2 linked regions of the Oryzias latipes genome follow. Each later gene encodes a partner of the first gene's protein in a complex. Links are inferred from orthologs where the notes say so. Each region holds a gene or a part of one and is shown on either strand. Other genes may lie near its edges.

Region 1 (7,960 bases):
CCGATACCGACGCCAGGTTAGACTCCGTCGTGACAGTGGCTTCCCCAAAAAAAGAGACACTCCACTGAAACCGACACGCTGGAGGCGAGACCGTAAGAAACAAACATTTCAGACCTAACGTGAAGTTTTGAATCTTAAGCGGAAATGACGTCGTTCACTGAACTCCCCCCCCCCCCAGGTATTTTTTGTTGTTGTTTTTCTTGTTGTAATCCCACACCCAACTACATCACTTGTTTCAGGAAATAGGAGACTTCTTCCGAACAAACATTTTGACACTTTAGTGGAGGAATGTGAAGATGGTGGCACGAGTTTCTCCACAGGTCGACGCGCAGGCGCAGTGTTGGTAAGTTTGCAAAATAAAGTGCACCAACTCCCAGTTTAACTCTGGAAATATAAACAACGTTTAATTGAGAAAGTAAACAAAAATATTCAATATTTAATAGATTAATATTAAATATTAAAAGAAAACTGAGTCTATTTTAGAAATGTTCAGAAATTGAGAATCTATTGTATTTTGTTTTAAAATCAATCTTTTGCAGAATAGTCTTTTTAAGGGTATTACAAGAATCCTTAGTCTACGCTGAAAGTGAGGTAGTATAATTGAAGTTTACTTTCATATACTATCAATATATTTGAAACTTGAAATGTTCCAATTTAGTCTGAAAAAGTATTCATTGAGCGTATTTCCTACACCACATGTATTATCTATAGCTATACCTACCTAAGTAAACCTAATACAGTAAACATCAAGTGTACTAATTTTTTCGGAAGGGAACCTTTTGCAAAAAGTTGTCTTTTCCAAGAGTTCTAAAAGTATACTTAGTCTGCACTAAAAGTGGGGTAATAAAGTTTACTTTCAAATACTATCAATTTATTGTAAACGTAAAATGTTCCAATTAAGTCTGAAGAAGTATTTAGTTGGTATACTACCTACACTACATGCACATAGTCTATGGTATTGCTTGACTTATACTTAAGTATACTTAATAAAATAGATGTAACAGATGTAATAGATATAACCAATAAACTTTGAGTTTCCTACTTTTTGCTTAGAACAGTTCTAATTTGACCGTGTACAGTTGCCATGTTATTTTTCCAGACTTCCCTACTATTCTTTGTACTTGCAGGCCAACACTGCGCCTCTCCATCGCGTTTCAGTGTCATGCTTTAAACCTTGTAAAAAAACTGCAACTCCTATTAACCGTCAAAAAATTTTGCAAACAAGCAATGCAAGCAATAAAGCTTCTCCAATACTTCAGTCTTTTGGAGCTGGAGACACTCCAGAAAGTGTCACATCTTTTGTCATGGAAACAAGCTCAACGTCTAACTCAGAGGAGCATGGCGACAGCAGATCCTCCTCTACCTCGACAAACCTAAGCAGTTATCCCTCCCCAGAGATTTTCAGAAGAGAAGGTAGTGGTTTTTGTGTGTGGCTTCAAATCTACCCAGAAATATTTGTGTTTCTTCTGGACAGTTTGTCATATTTTTCATGGCTTGTTTCAGCAGTGGAAACACAGACTTTCCTTAATGGAGAGGAGATGCTTGGGATTATCTGTAATGTTAAAAACTCTACCCTGCTGGATGAAAGCCATTCAAAGAGCATCCACACGTATCATCCACCCAACATGTCCACTATTATAGGTGAAAACTTGAAAAAAATATTGAAATGACAACCTGAACTTTTTTTCAACTTGAATTCAATAATTACAATAGTTTTTGTGTTTAGATGTATCCACACACGTTGCTGAAAAGAACAGTGAGAGCAGGTGAGTGGATATATTAATACTGCATTAAAAAATTTATGAAATGATTTTAAATGTTGTTTCAGTGCTGACATCTTTGGAAAGAAAGCTGTTGTGCAATTAATATTTAATCAACCAGTCTTTTCCCCCCCTACAAAGCTACCAGAAGGAAACTCACACTGAAAGTAAGATACAAATTGATTCATTTAATTTAGGAAATATTTTTAAGCTACATGATTTATAAGTTTCTCTGTTTTTATAGTATTAAATCCATTTTTATAACCAAATTATACCTATGTTTTTTTGTAATCTGCATCTACAGATAAATCTCAGGAGATGAAACCTGCACAAGATGTAAGAAAAATATGTGTTACTTCATCATTTTAAATGTTTTTTGTTAATCAACTGTGTTTTTTCAGTAGCAGTTGAATAATTGTGTTTTTGCCCTAGTTTGTTGGGAGAAGGCCCATAGTGTGCAGAAAAAGGGTATCATTCAAAAGCCCGGTCATTTCTGAGCCTCTGAAAGAAAAACATGCTCCATCACCTTCAGGCATAAATGACACCATCCGGAAACTATCCCGAGTTTCTGAGCGGACGAAACCAGATGCACAGACGCCCAAAATGGATGAAATCAGCTCTAAAAAAGAAATAACGGTGACCCCAAAAAGGCCTGTTGAGACTGAGAAAACCATGTTCTTTGACTTTACCAGCAACGCTGACATGGATGCTCTCTTTCAGAACATGAGAGATAGAAGTGCAAAACTTAGGTGCTCATTTTATTTTCCTTTTACTGTAGGCACCCAAAGCCCTCTGCGTAATAAAAGCAGATCTGAGTTAACCTGAAGTTAACTCTGATACTACAGTGTACAGTTGCACAACATAGTTTTTGCCTAAATGACAATATAAAAACATGATTGGAACGAACATGCTCTCTGTGAGAAATGACTCTGACTTTAGAAGACATGGATAAATTAATAAAACAAATACAATGGCAAATAAAGAGAACTAGCTCATAAATTAGTTTGATATAAAACATGAATGCCTTCAAAACAGTAAATGTTTGTATTTTCTTTTTCAGTATAGGACATCAAGAAAATAAACATACTAATAAGAGTTTTTAAACCTTATAAAACTATACAAGATGTGGGTATATTTTAATATGTAATGTGTGTTTCTATAGCTTTGTTTCTTCTGTAACCTCTTTTAATGTATCTGCATATTATATAAAGCAAAAACAATGTTAGAGCCTGTATTTTTAATGTTTGCATGTAATCCAAATGTGTTGTGAATGTTGAACACTAGGTGGCGCATCTGTATCAGTTTTCTTGTCCTCTTTAAAAAATAAAAATAAATATAACACGTGTTAAACGTATGCCAACGTTTTTATTTTAATATTCAAAATTCTATAAATGTTTTTTCAATAATCCTTTGAATATCAGGTTGTTACATTTTTGAAAGGTGTCTTTTTGATAAAAATGAGAATGCGCAAATTAGTCAAAATAGTAAAACCTTCATCTTTTGTATAATTTACAACTGTGAAATAAAAACTATTTAAAATTAAATTACGTTCTGTAAACATTAATATATATGTCAATGTATTCCACTGTATACGTACAATTTAGGATTTTTTTGTTTTGTTTTTAAAAGGATATTTGTGAAATAAGTGTTAAATTTATAGCATGTTTCTGTCCGAAGTTCAACCGGTGTAAAAGACTAAATTTAGTGACGTAACGATTCTAGACAAAACATCAACACGGAAAAGTCTGTGGTCACGTGGTTCCAGTCCAAAAATATAAGCCAATCGCGTAGTTTGTAGTAGCAGCCGTATCTGGTTAGCCAATCAGGAAAATGTAGATGGTTACCAAGGTGCTCCTGTGACTAATGCCTGTCATATGACTGACACCCATGGAGACAGTTACAAGGAACAAAATTTGCTTGTGGATTTGAAAAGAACGGGTATCCGTGCCGAATTCGTTGTGGGAACAAAATGCCTCCAACTCTTTTCCACAAACTTTTCAACAAGAAGAATGCATTTTCATCGCCACCACCTAGATGCAGCAAAGAAGACGTCGCTTTCAGGTAGCTGTCCTGTGTGTGTTTGTTCGGGGTTTGTGTGTGTAATGTTGTGTGCGCTATTTATTTATTTATTAAATTCACTGTATTGTTTGGTAAGAAAGTATAACTTCGGGTGGTAAATGTTTAGGAAGTGTGGCTTCTAAATAGCCCCTGTGCACCTCTTTGTATACAAGTAAAGTAAAGTACGTGGGATACGTGTTGTGACTGTTGTTGCGGGAAGCTAGCATGCTAATGCTAACAACTAGCCGAGCTGCAGGACACGCTTTCTTGGTGCGACTTGGCTCAATATCGATCTCATCCCAAACATTTAAACCAATATTGTTCCGTGTATGACGTGATTTTGTAGCTAAAACAAACTCTGAGCTTTTAGCGAGTCTGTGTTTGTTGCTTATAGAAGTTATAAGGGAGCAGTGTGCCGCTCTTTTTCCTTTGTTTCTCCTCGTGCCTCCCTTTCTGTGTCTTTGGCAGTAATTGAGCGCGTGCAGGGCAGCGCAGACCCTCTCCCGTGTTGCTCATCTTTGCTGAACGTGGAGCAAAGTACACAGATGATATTGTATTCCGCCGTTTCGGTCTGATAGAGGGAGGACACAGTGTGCTCTGTCGGATGACATGTGAAAGCTTCCGTGGCCCGTTTGGAGATGCAGAATTGACGGTCCGGATCTGCTTCTGAACCAACAGTTCTCACATGGGATGCCTTTGCGAATATATGATGGCACTTTGAAATAAACGGACAAAATGACCTCTTTTACATATAAATGCACAATAAAACAGCAAAACTTGTAACAATTTCATTGTATTTATTTATTTTTAGAAATTGAGACACAAAGAACTCCACCAGAATTGTCTGGGTTAAAAGTGACTATTGCTTTACACCAATAAAAACATGTTTTTCATGCAAAAGCAACTTTATTATATGCAAATATTTTGATATTTTATTGCATCTCCACTTTTATTACTCTTAAATCGCTAGTTATATGAAAAAGGGTTGTGGAACTGTACATTTAAAAATTAAAGAAAAAATGCTGGAGCATCACCTCAGAAATGTATTTTGCTTGTATACAAATCTTTAAAAAAAATATTCTCATGTTGCAGTGCTTTGTTTTGTTTTCCCTAACCAGTAATGATCCATATTTGGTCAGAAAAAGAAAATAAATGCCTTTTCACCTTTTTTTCCCCCATATCAGATTATTTTGTTTTATTTCTGCTGATGTTAACTACCTTTTAATAATTTAATTTATCTTTTTAATGATGTATTTTATATTCCTATTATCAGATACTGCAAAAGCAGTGTCTATTGAGGCAAAATCTAGTATGTTTTACAACTATCTATTAGTAAAAATAAAGTAATCAAAAATTGCTTTCCACTGCATTCGTGCATAAACAGATTGCAAAATAAATGTTCATATATTTTTAATACTGCTTTCAAAAAAGTATTTCAAAATATATTTTTGAATTAGGATTATGAACTAAATGTATTTGGACTAAAGTGATGTCTGTACTATAGTTTGCTAAAGTTATGTCATGTTTGAGTTGATTAGAACTAAAAGTTGACTTTTACTTTATTACTGTCGCTGTATTTGATAAAATACTACACCGAAATTATTTTTCTAGGATAGTCTAGGATAGTCTAGCACACCTTCTAGATGAGAGTAATGTATGCTTTGAATGGGGAATCTTTGAATTTCTACGTTTTTACTGGGCAATGTCGCATGTTGTCCTTTAACTGTGAATTATTTGTGGTCATGAAAGCTCATCTTCTTGTTAGGCTGCTGGCACTTTACCCAGCATGGGCTATAGCACATCTGATGGCCAGAAAGGTGATTTAAAAAAAAGTGACGCATGTGTAAATGTGTAATTAGGCTTAGTAGTTGGTGTTGGTTGGCATCAGTCTAGAGCAAACAGACAGCAGGCGGTTCTGTTAACTCTGTGGTCAGCTGTGCTCTTCATACCTCTGGCTAAAGCTTCCCCCATTCATCAACCATGAAATGGCTCTGAAGGGGAGAAATCTGTCTATAGACAGTAGGGAAAGGACACTTGGGTGCTAATATTTATGACTAGTGTAGTTTTACATACAAGGGATACTGAATGAATGTTTTCCGAGTTAAAGAAAATACATTTTTTTAAAGTATCTTTCATTAGAATGTGTATGAGGAACAGCTGGACTGGAGAAAGTTTCAGGTTAATTCAGTCACCAGTGAGAAATCTGTTTTAAATGCTGTTATAAGTAGCCTGGGTTAGTTATTATTAGTTATTTGGAGGTTCCTGGCACTTTGTCCTAGAAACTCCAAACCTGAATCCTAAGTCTGACTGAATAAAGGAACTAGAACATCTAATACAATCACACAAATAAGTTTGACTGAACTTAGTCTTTGTTCACATCTTGCTGCCCTACATTAAGCGTCAACAACCAAAAACATAATCGGACCGCATCATTGTGGCTTTCAAAATACCACAGAGGGTAGAGGGTTGGCTCACCCTGCAGTAAAGCCTAAAAGCCTCTCTTGTTTCCATAGCTGCAACTCCTGAGCCATGGAAAGCGTACTGTACGATACGCCGAGAGTTTCTGGCTCATCTGCAGCCGGTCTCCAGTGCCGCGACTCAGATTGCTTGTCACGGGAGCCTGCTGAGGAAACCCTCCCTCTTGACCTGTGTCATGCAGCTCCTTAAAAATAAGCTTGTGCTGAAATGTGTGGAGTCTGTAGAAGCAATACACAGGAATTAATAATAATAAAAAAACTTTTTACATTTATGTTATGTTTAAGGAAAAAACTTTTTTTTATTTTTAGATGTTCAAAAATTACGCAGAACTTTATTATTATTATTTTTTTGGAGATTTATTTTTTTTATTGATGCAAAATTCATAATTGCAACTACGTGAACTTTTATATTTTTAATAGCAACGACATGATTCTCAGAATACTTGTCCACATTTAGAAATGCTTGACATTGCAGAAGGCTTTGCAAAGTTTTAAGCTGCATGGAACGTATTTATAGTGGTCATTTCATTAATGATGGTTCAGGAGAAGACGTTTCTCAGGTTCCTGACTGGAATAGGATCTTTCCCCTACTACATGGTTTCAGAATGTGGTGTGTCATGTGAGGTTTTCATCAAGCTGGGCCTGTCATGTTTCTGGAATGATCACATGGCTGTGGTCACAGCCATAGCTGGATAAGCAAAGACAGACTTTTGGATGTTAATGAAGAATGCATATTTTGTAACCTGTGTGTCTGTTGGGTTAAGTAGACCCCTCTTTTAATACACACTTTTAAAAGCATTTATTTTTTATCATCCATTATTGGTGAATTCTATCAGATCCTATTGTGTATGTGCAAAAGTGATTCGTACATAACTTTTTTTTTTTTTTTTTTTTTTTTTTTGCAATATGTGTTATTGATTATTTTGAATTTTTGTTCTATACTGTAGGATAAATGGAAAGAGAAGTGGTCTTATTATAGTAGAAGAAGTCTGACCTCTATTCCATAAGCAGCTCAATTTGGAGCAATGCTTTTAATTTATTTTCATTTAAATGTCCTATACCATGTAAAATCAACTTTTTTGAGCTTCTAGGTGTATTATAGTTCTCATTCTTCACAACAACAAAAAAGCAGTAATTTGACCCATTTACGCACTTCTGCATACTCCTCTAAAAACCTGTGCTCTAAACACCAGCCCCTCCCAACCCATGAAAACAAGCGGGTTCTCACATTGTGACGTAGAGTGAGCCCCGCCCTTCCAGGAAGCGTCTGTGCTGCCAGCACCGCCCCCAGGCTAACACTCACACACCCACTTTCTCAGTGGAGCTAACGGTGATCGACCAAACGCTTTCATTTTATTTTCACATGCATCTTTGGAAAAGTTCGGACGTTGTTTGTTTTCATGGGTGTAACGCAGACACGCTGCTGAGGCCTACTTTAGGTCGATGTCATGAAATGGGCGGCACCCAAAAGGAGCGAAAGGCGGTGCCTCAGAGATCGAGCCGTCTTACTTCCAGGTTGGAAAAAGGGCTGCGAAAATGGCTCTTATTTCATAAAAAATCCTTCTTTAGTGGGCCAAAGCTAATGCATTATCATATATATGGATATAGTTTACTCTGAAAGGCTTAAGCAAAGCAGGATATAGGTCATTTTAACAGGTCATGTTT
Region 2 (7,704 bases), on another chromosome or scaffold:
TTAGCATTTTCTGTTGGTATTTTTCTGATGATGGAGGACGTACGTAAATAGACTTAAGCTTCTTTTTGTTTATTCAGACAAATATATCCTTGTACGTCTTTGTTTTTCTGGTCTGAGCTTGAATCTGGATCAGAACCGTCCTGCTGGATAGCTCTGACATTGCTCGCCGTTTTATAGTAAACAGACGGGGAGGCAAAGGAGTAAACTATGACCTGAAGGAGCATTCACACTGGCAGGTTTGGTCCAGCCAAGCTCGGTTGGGTGTGAAGTAAAACTAGGCAAACGTGGAGCTTTTGTCAGCATTCCTTCCCATCGAGCTGGGATCTTCCCAGGGAGGAAAGGGTGGAAAATCAGAGTTTGTTGTTTAAATGTGCATCAGTGAAGCAGTCAGAAAATATCGTTGTGAACTTTAAGGTGTGTGTAGAAAAAGCTCTTCTCCCCCATCTTTAATTTTGTCCAGCTAACAGTTTTAAAGTTTACGTTTTCCAAATGTATACAATCCACATGTTTGAAGGAAATCTCAGGTCGGGTTCAAATTCCCTCACTATTCAGTGTCTTCTTCATTTTGTCATTAGGTCTGAATCATTTAGGTTTCATCATCAGACCACAGGGGATTTAGAAGTAAACTTTATAAAATGTTCACATTTATGGGGTTTTTATTTCAGCATTTGGGTGACATCATATTTGTCGTTTAACAGAACTCGGCATTGTGTCTAAATTGCATTCAAATCCAGGATAGTCCCGCTCTGAATCATGTTTTGGGGGTTAGGAGCAGTGAGGGGATCCAGACATGGCCTAGGAGGTGTTCAGCAGAAGTTCTTTCAGAGCTTTTTAGCTGCTGATTTAACCTGAAATGTCTAATTTCCCTTCAAAATGTTATTTCCTGAAAAATGGAACAGCTTTGAAGGAACATCAGCGACATTTGATTAGTTTGAGTTGTCGTTCCTGCCTCTGTAAGCCCGTGTGGGTTCCCTTCACCCTGATGTCCAGAACCTTCCTCTGTCTCTAGTGAACCCCCCCACTTTCCTGCGTTCCTCCTTGACGCTCTGCCTCAGATTCCCTGCTGATCTCCGTGCTGGGCATGGCTGTCTACACGGGATACGTCTTCATGCCGCAGCACATCATGGCCATCCTGCACTACTTTGAGGTGGTACAGTGAGGCCGCCCTCCTCTTCTTCTTCGGCCTCCTTTGCTGGGGGACTCGTTGAACCTTCCCTCTTCGTTTCTCTCTGGTCCGTGGAGTGGTCCACATGACTGACTGCCGCCCCCGTGCTTCAGTGAAGCACGAGCTGATGGACGCAGACGTGGACTTCCTGCCAGAGCGGGCAGAAGAGACTGTCTAGACTTTATCACAGGAGGGTCCTTTTAAAGTTCTGCTTCACCTTTCCCACGTCTGCTCTGGAGAGCCTTTTCAGATCTGTTTAGCTCCGCCCCCTGATGGCGTCACACAGACAGTAAGGAGCGCTTTAATCACACATTCCTGGGTTGATGACGTTCTTCTGATCTAAGGAGGAACGTCTGGAGGAGGAGGAGAAGCTCCTCAGAAGTCTTTTCGATGAAGTCATCTGTGAGAACACCGTCCATCTTCTTCCCCTGAATGTTTTTTCTCCAACTGTGTGTTTTCTGAATGATGACATTATAATAAACATGTGTGTGATATGTTTGTAAAGGCTGGTTGTCATAATCAAAATGTTCATGTCAACTAATCAACACACAGAGAAACTTCTGAAGATTCACCTTTAAAAACGGATGGTTTCATTGAGACGGAAGCAGAAGCTCTTCATGGCTCCTCCAGAAGAGGGGGGACGGGTGGGACGGGACGGCGTGATGGCGGGGCAGCAGTGAAGCTGCAGAATATGTTTCAGACCTGATGAGTCCTGCTGTGTGTCCGACTGCTCTGACCTTCACGTCTCCACGCTCTGCTCCTCTGCAGCTTCCATCGTCTCTTCAGCCGCTGCATGAGACCTTTTTGAACCTGGGACTTATGTCAGACCCAGATCCCCTCTGAACCGGTCCAGCAGGTTCCTGTGGTCTGAATGGATTCCCTTGAAGCTCCTTCAGACCACGCCCACATTTCCATGTTTGTGTTTGCACCGAAGACCGTTTTCTAGGAGAACAGCTTCCTTTTTCCAAATACCTCTCATACATGAACTCTTTCATGTCTGTGTCTGGGCTTTTTTCCCCTAAAACTACATTTGACAATTGGAAGATGAACGTTTGAAGATTTAGTTCACGTCTCACCTGTTCTGAAGAACATGATCAGAAACCTTCTCCTGCCTGAGCTGCAGTGCCTGGAATGTCCTGGAAACAAAGGACCCTGGAGGTGACGACACCCACCTGAGCAATCCACACAGAAAGAAACAACCGATCTGGAGGAGGCAGCTCTGCTGAAAAAAGAACTAATGACTTTTATTGGGCAAATGTTACTGATGGATGGACTGACGACGGGCTTTCAGCAGGGACAGCAAGACAGTATAATAATCTATAATAAGGGATGTTACAATACCGGACAAATAAATCAATATATTGTATCTGATTGGAGACCAAATACTAATATTTTCTTGTAGGTGGCAGTAGCTGCGAAATATTTTAGCTGTGTTTAGAATAAGTTTAAAAGAAATTTCCAATTCAAAATAATTGGAAAATAAAGTTTTAGTCAACTTTATTGAAATATGTTGCCAGCACATTTCGATCAGTTGTAAGTAATGTTAGAATCTTCACTTAGTCCAGAACTATGATGGAGGTTCTAATATATTTTCTATCTACATTTTTCCCAGTCAAAAGAAGACAAAAAACATTAGACTTGGTTTGACCATGGATGAACCATGACGTCTGACCACCAGCAGGGGGAGCAGAGAGCACACGGCAGTTTAAAACAGCGAAGAAGAAGCGTCACGTGACAGCGAAGAAGAAGCGTCACGTGACTGCAGCTCTTTGGAAATTCACGGTGGTAGCATCAGCTGATTGTTTGTTTAAACGTTCAGAGGACCGAGCTCACTGTGGAAACGCTCCGGACGGGCTCGTCGTGTTTTGGATTCGGAGCCGGCGGTTCTCCTGACTTCCTGTGACGGAACCGGCTTGGGTCCTCGGAGCTGCCATGGCGGACGTGAGTCTGTCTGTCCTCCTTTAGCACCTCCTGTTCTGTTAGGCTTCACTAAAAACTCTTTAGTTTTTGGGAAGATGCTCAAAGTTCACTATTCTCTTCTAATTACAAAAACACACAGTATCATGTGGGATGGTTTGTAGGTGATAAATTATTTCATTTGGCATTTAATATTGTATTAATGTTTCATTCACAACAGCAAATTCTTAAAAAAAAATCAAACCATTACTTAATAAATTTTAGAGAGAGATATGTTTTTTTTAATCACTAAAGTTTATTAAAACAAAAGTGCAAAACAGATAAGCTGTGTAACAACCCTTAGTTTTATATTACATTTGTATTAGACTACAGTCCTAATTTTCATCTTTATTTCTTTCTGTTCTATACATGTGGATATGTTGTGTTAAAAACAGACGCTCTACAGAGGTCACGTGACATTTTTCCATTAACTGTTTATGAGAACTAGACTGGGTGACTCCTCCCCCTGGCTGTCCAAACAGGAAGTACCTGTTGGCTCCAAGAAGCCAGAATCCCATAGACTTCTTTGGAGAAATTAACAGCGGTTACTCGGTCACTATTGTCAGTAATGCTGGGTGAAAATGGTGGTGGGGAGACCAGGATCTTCTCTGACGGTTTGAAGCTCTAAAGCTCACAGACGTCCACGTTCTTGACTGTTTCTGAGGTTGCTCCTTAACTCTTTATGCTCCCGTCTGCAGGATCTGAAGAGGTTCCTGTACAAACAGATGCAGAGGTGAGGCTTTTGTCCCTTATTGTTATTGCACAAAGTGATTTACTTTAACTATATAACAAGAAAAAAAAATCTGTATTATAAATCAAATCTCTTTTCTCAAAAAAGAGTTTTTGTATCTTATATCACATGTAAATAGTAGTTTTCTGTGTCCTCAGTGTTGACGGGCTTCACGCTATCGTGGTGACGGACCGAGACGGCGTCCCGGTAATCAAAGGTGAGACTTCTTCTGTTTCGGGTTTTCTGTTCCAATAAACTGTGTTTTAATAACTTATTAGAAATACTTTTGGCCTCAGGGCCAACCTGCTACTCAACAGGAACGCTTTATCCTCAGCCTCAGCAGCTTCTTGTTGTGGCAGTAGTTTCATGGTTTGGGGTGACTCAGCTCTGGCTCCACTCGTACGAGTTTAGGTTAGAAGTCACCAAAGTAGAGCAGAAAATGGATCTAAAAGACTCATTCATCTGCATTTTAGGGGTCAAACTGTTGGGGATTTTTCTGACTTTTTTTTCTGGCCCTGGTCTTTGAACGCACCGCTCACCAGCAGGAAGTCCTCATCCTAACACGCCTGCTTGTTTTCCTCCAGTTGCCAACGACAGCGTTCCGGTGCACGCGCTCAGACCGGGCTTCCTGTCCACGTTCGCTCTGGCCACGGATCAGGGGAGCAAGCTGGGCCTCTCCAAGAACAAGAGCATCATCTGCTACTACAACACCTACCAGGTGACCCCTCCCAGCATCACCGCGTGGGGGCGTGGCAGCCGGAACACCGGCGCCTTTCACCCGCGCTCGCTTCATCCGGTTCCTGCCAGTTTGTGTCCGGTCCGGGTCAGATCCAGAACCAGACTCTAGTCTCCATCGTCTCTTATAGTAACAAACTTCCTGTTTGTAAACTTTTGGGGGTGGGATTAAGAGAATAGCCTCACATAAAAGCAGAGTGAGACGGACTGAAATGAGATGATCCATGGGAGTCGGATCACAACAGAAGCACTAGAGCAGGTTCTGTAAATGTCAGAGGGTTCTGAGAGTAAAGAAGAACTTCTGCTGGGACAGAGAGGAGAAAAGTCTGCAAACGTTATCCTCTGATGGAGCAGACAAAACGTCCAGCAGAGGAAAATCTCAGAATCTGTTGGTCTTCTTTTGTTTTTCATGATTTGTTAAGCCAGCTGAACTTTTTCCTGAGTTTTTTTAAGAAAAATCAGAGAAGTGAAAATATTTGGGTTTTTTTTATTGCTAAGTAAAAAAAAAAACCAAATCACTCTGATGGATTCCTTCTGCTCTGAACCAGCCTAACCCGGCCAATCTCCATGGTAACCAGACTCTGCTCTGGTTCTGCCTTTGTGACCCGTCTGCTGTCTCTGCTCGACAGATCATGCAGTTTAACCGCCTGCCGCTGGTCGTCAGCTTCATCGCCAGCAGCAGCGCCAACACAGGTGAGATGAGGAGGCGTGTCTGAGGAGCCCCGCCCACTGGTTATCTGCAGTCTGTTTGATGTTCTCTGAACAGAGCGTGTCTTAAAATGATCTCAGTCTTCATCTCCGTGCACCCCGCTGTTCGTGTGTAGCTTATTGCTGCATCGTGGGGAAGGAGAAATATCGCCATGGAAACGCAAAAACTTTTACCTGAGGCCTTTTCATCATCCAAATGAAAGAAAGCAGAGAAAGTGACTCAGCATCATCGTCCAAAATATGTTGCAATGTGGTAATACTGGCATTTAAAATACGGCTCAAGAGCCAAGAAGTTGAAGTTTATCTGAGAAAAAACCCGACATTTCAGATCATTTAGTCTGACGGGAATCTCCAGGAATGTTCTGGATTATATTTAGTGAAAAGAAGAAAAAAAGTTCTTGTCAAACCCCTTCTGACAAAAGATGAATCCTGTGAGTCTGACCCATCCTGCAGACTCAGGTGGGAGGGGCCTAATCAAAACCTAGAGTGAGCCCTCCCCCCCTGGCGTTCCAAACAGGAAGTACCTAATCCTACAGAGAAATAGACAGCTGTTACTCAGTCTTTTGATCCGAGTAAGTATTCTTACTCGGATACATTTTTTTTATGATCGTCATATTTTTCTGTGGTTCAAGTTATAAACTGACCAATCAGATAAGAGTATCCATTCGACAGATTTCATGTCTTTTAAGTGGTGGTAGGGGTGTGGAGTTCCAACAAGCTCACTCCTGATTGGTGAGAGTGGTTGCCATAGAAACATGGACTCAGATTGACTTATCGCTGCTTATATATCCTGAAAAAATGGCGAGTGAATTGACTTCATGTGGTTGGAGCTGGAGGTAAACCATTTTCTCTGTGTGATGTCACATTCAGTCCAGTGCTCATATGCAGTCAGGGGATTCTCCAGATAAACCTGATCCTGACCAGGGTAGGGTCAGATTGTTTCCATAGCAACAGACTCCAGTTAGGAGCCATCCAGCTTTGTGAAAATGAATCCATCTGGTTTTTCACACGAGTGGGAGGCGTTTTGTAAAAACCCTCCTTTTCTGTCCTCAGGCCTCATCATGACTCTGGAGAAGGAGCTGGCTCCTCTGATGGAGGAGCTGAGGCAGGTGGTGGAGGTCACATAAAGTCCCATGATGCTTTGCTAAGAAAACCCGCCTACAGTTTCTACCGTCGCCTCTGCTGCAAACTTCTCACCTTGCGTTGTCATTTCTAACTCTTGAATAAAAGCTTTTCCATCAGGAGCTCCACTGTTTGTTTTTTTCTCTGAGAAGAGTGAAGAACCACAAAAGCGTCCCACGCTGAAGATGATTCTCATGATTCCAAAATTATTGGTTAGGTTGGAACGTAAAAAAATGGAATTAAAATCTGACAAAAACTTTTAAAAAAAAACAAAGAAATCACTTTTATATTTCATTTACATTCACAATATGACAAACAGTCATGTTTGGTGTAATCTGAAAAATATAATCCACGTTTTTCTCGTCTCTGATATTCAGATTAACTTTAACCCTTGTGCTATCCTATGGGGTCCAGATGACCCCACCCTTACACCCCACCCCCCCACCTCCATCTGAGATATTTTTTGAAGTCAAACTTTCAGTGTCTTTACAGTGATTTAAATATTTATTCTAAAACAGCAAATATAATACACAACTAAAGTGAGGTGGGGATCTATTTTGAACAACATGAATCTATACAACATTCCTCTGGTCCACTTTAGCTGAAACTCCAGAACAAACAGAAGGCTTTTCTGACCAAAATACTTTGGATATTTTTTCAGTCTTTAACATACAGCCGACAGTCGATCCTCAGCACCTGAACTCAAACAGTTTTTCAAAATAAATGCACTTTTTTGAGGAGGATGTTGGGTTCCATCAGCGGTCAGGACCGTCTTCTGCAGCCGGAGCGCTTTCCGGTCCGTCATCGACCTTTTCTCGTCTGTGACTGCAAACAAACACGAGGCCGTGAACAACATGAGCCACAGCGACGGAGGCCTGAAGAGCACAAACAAACCCAACAGATTCATGGCCTGAAAGCTACAAAAACGTGCACATAAACCTCTGTCTGCAGAGCTAAGTGACTGTCTCAACTCCCAGCATCTCCATCTCTAAAACATACGTCTTAATGGTGTTTTTTTTTTATTTCTTTACAAACCAAACCTCTTATTCAAACTTTTCCTATGGGGACATTTCATGGGGGGTGCTCTGGATGTTTGGCAGACATGAACCCATTAACCCTTGTTCTATCCTATGACCCCACCCTTGCATTGACGTGTTGGGATGCCTGTGGGAGGGGCTAAGCCTTCATAAGGGGTGAACTTACTTTTCCCAGTTGAGGGAGAGCGGTCTTGGTTGCAGTGGTGGCAACAGGCTCTCCCGAAATCAGCTGAATTTATTGTCTGATTTTT

What was found. Proteins that work in one complex are often made in the same cells at the same time.
Region 2: fnip1 (region 1) and lamtor3 share a complex: the UniProt entries of both Homo sapiens proteins name them as parts of the lysosomal folliculin complex. The link is inferred for Oryzias latipes from reciprocal best matches to the Homo sapiens genes FNIP1 and LAMTOR3.

The regions. Positions count from the first base shown.
Region 1 is NC_019872.2:4,916,792-4,924,751, reverse strand, and holds the start of fnip1 (folliculin-interacting protein 1), read left to right. Parts: upstream 1-3,614; 5' UTR 3,615-3,729; coding exon 3,730-3,821; intron 3,822-7,960. Other genes in the region: uncharacterized protein LOC101165494, read left to right, coding at 1-92, 240-343, 1,128-1,413, 1,504-1,641, 1,727-1,766, 1,902-1,927, 2,065-2,096, 2,193-2,585. UniProt on the Homo sapiens protein: Binding partner of the GTPase-activating protein FLCN: involved in the cellular response to amino acid availability by regulating the non-canonical mTORC1 signaling cascade controlling the MiT/TFE factors TFEB and TFE3.
Region 2 is NC_019880.2:24,347,098-24,354,801, forward strand, and holds lamtor3 (ragulator complex protein LAMTOR3), read left to right. Parts: upstream 1-3,636; 5' UTR 3,637-3,702; coding exon 3,703-3,735; intron 3,736-3,819; coding exon 3,820-3,854; intron 3,855-4,009; coding exon 4,010-4,068; intron 4,069-4,435; coding exon 4,436-4,569; intron 4,570-5,215; coding exon 5,216-5,279; intron 5,280-6,347; coding exon 6,348-6,421; 3' UTR 6,422-6,538; downstream 6,539-7,704. Other genes in the region: dapp1 (dual adapter for phosphotyrosine and 3-phosphotyrosine and 3-phosphoinositide), read right to left, coding at 7,172-7,291. UniProt on the Homo sapiens protein: As part of the Ragulator complex it is involved in amino acid sensing and activation of mTORC1, a signaling complex promoting cell growth in response to growth factors, energy levels, and amino acids.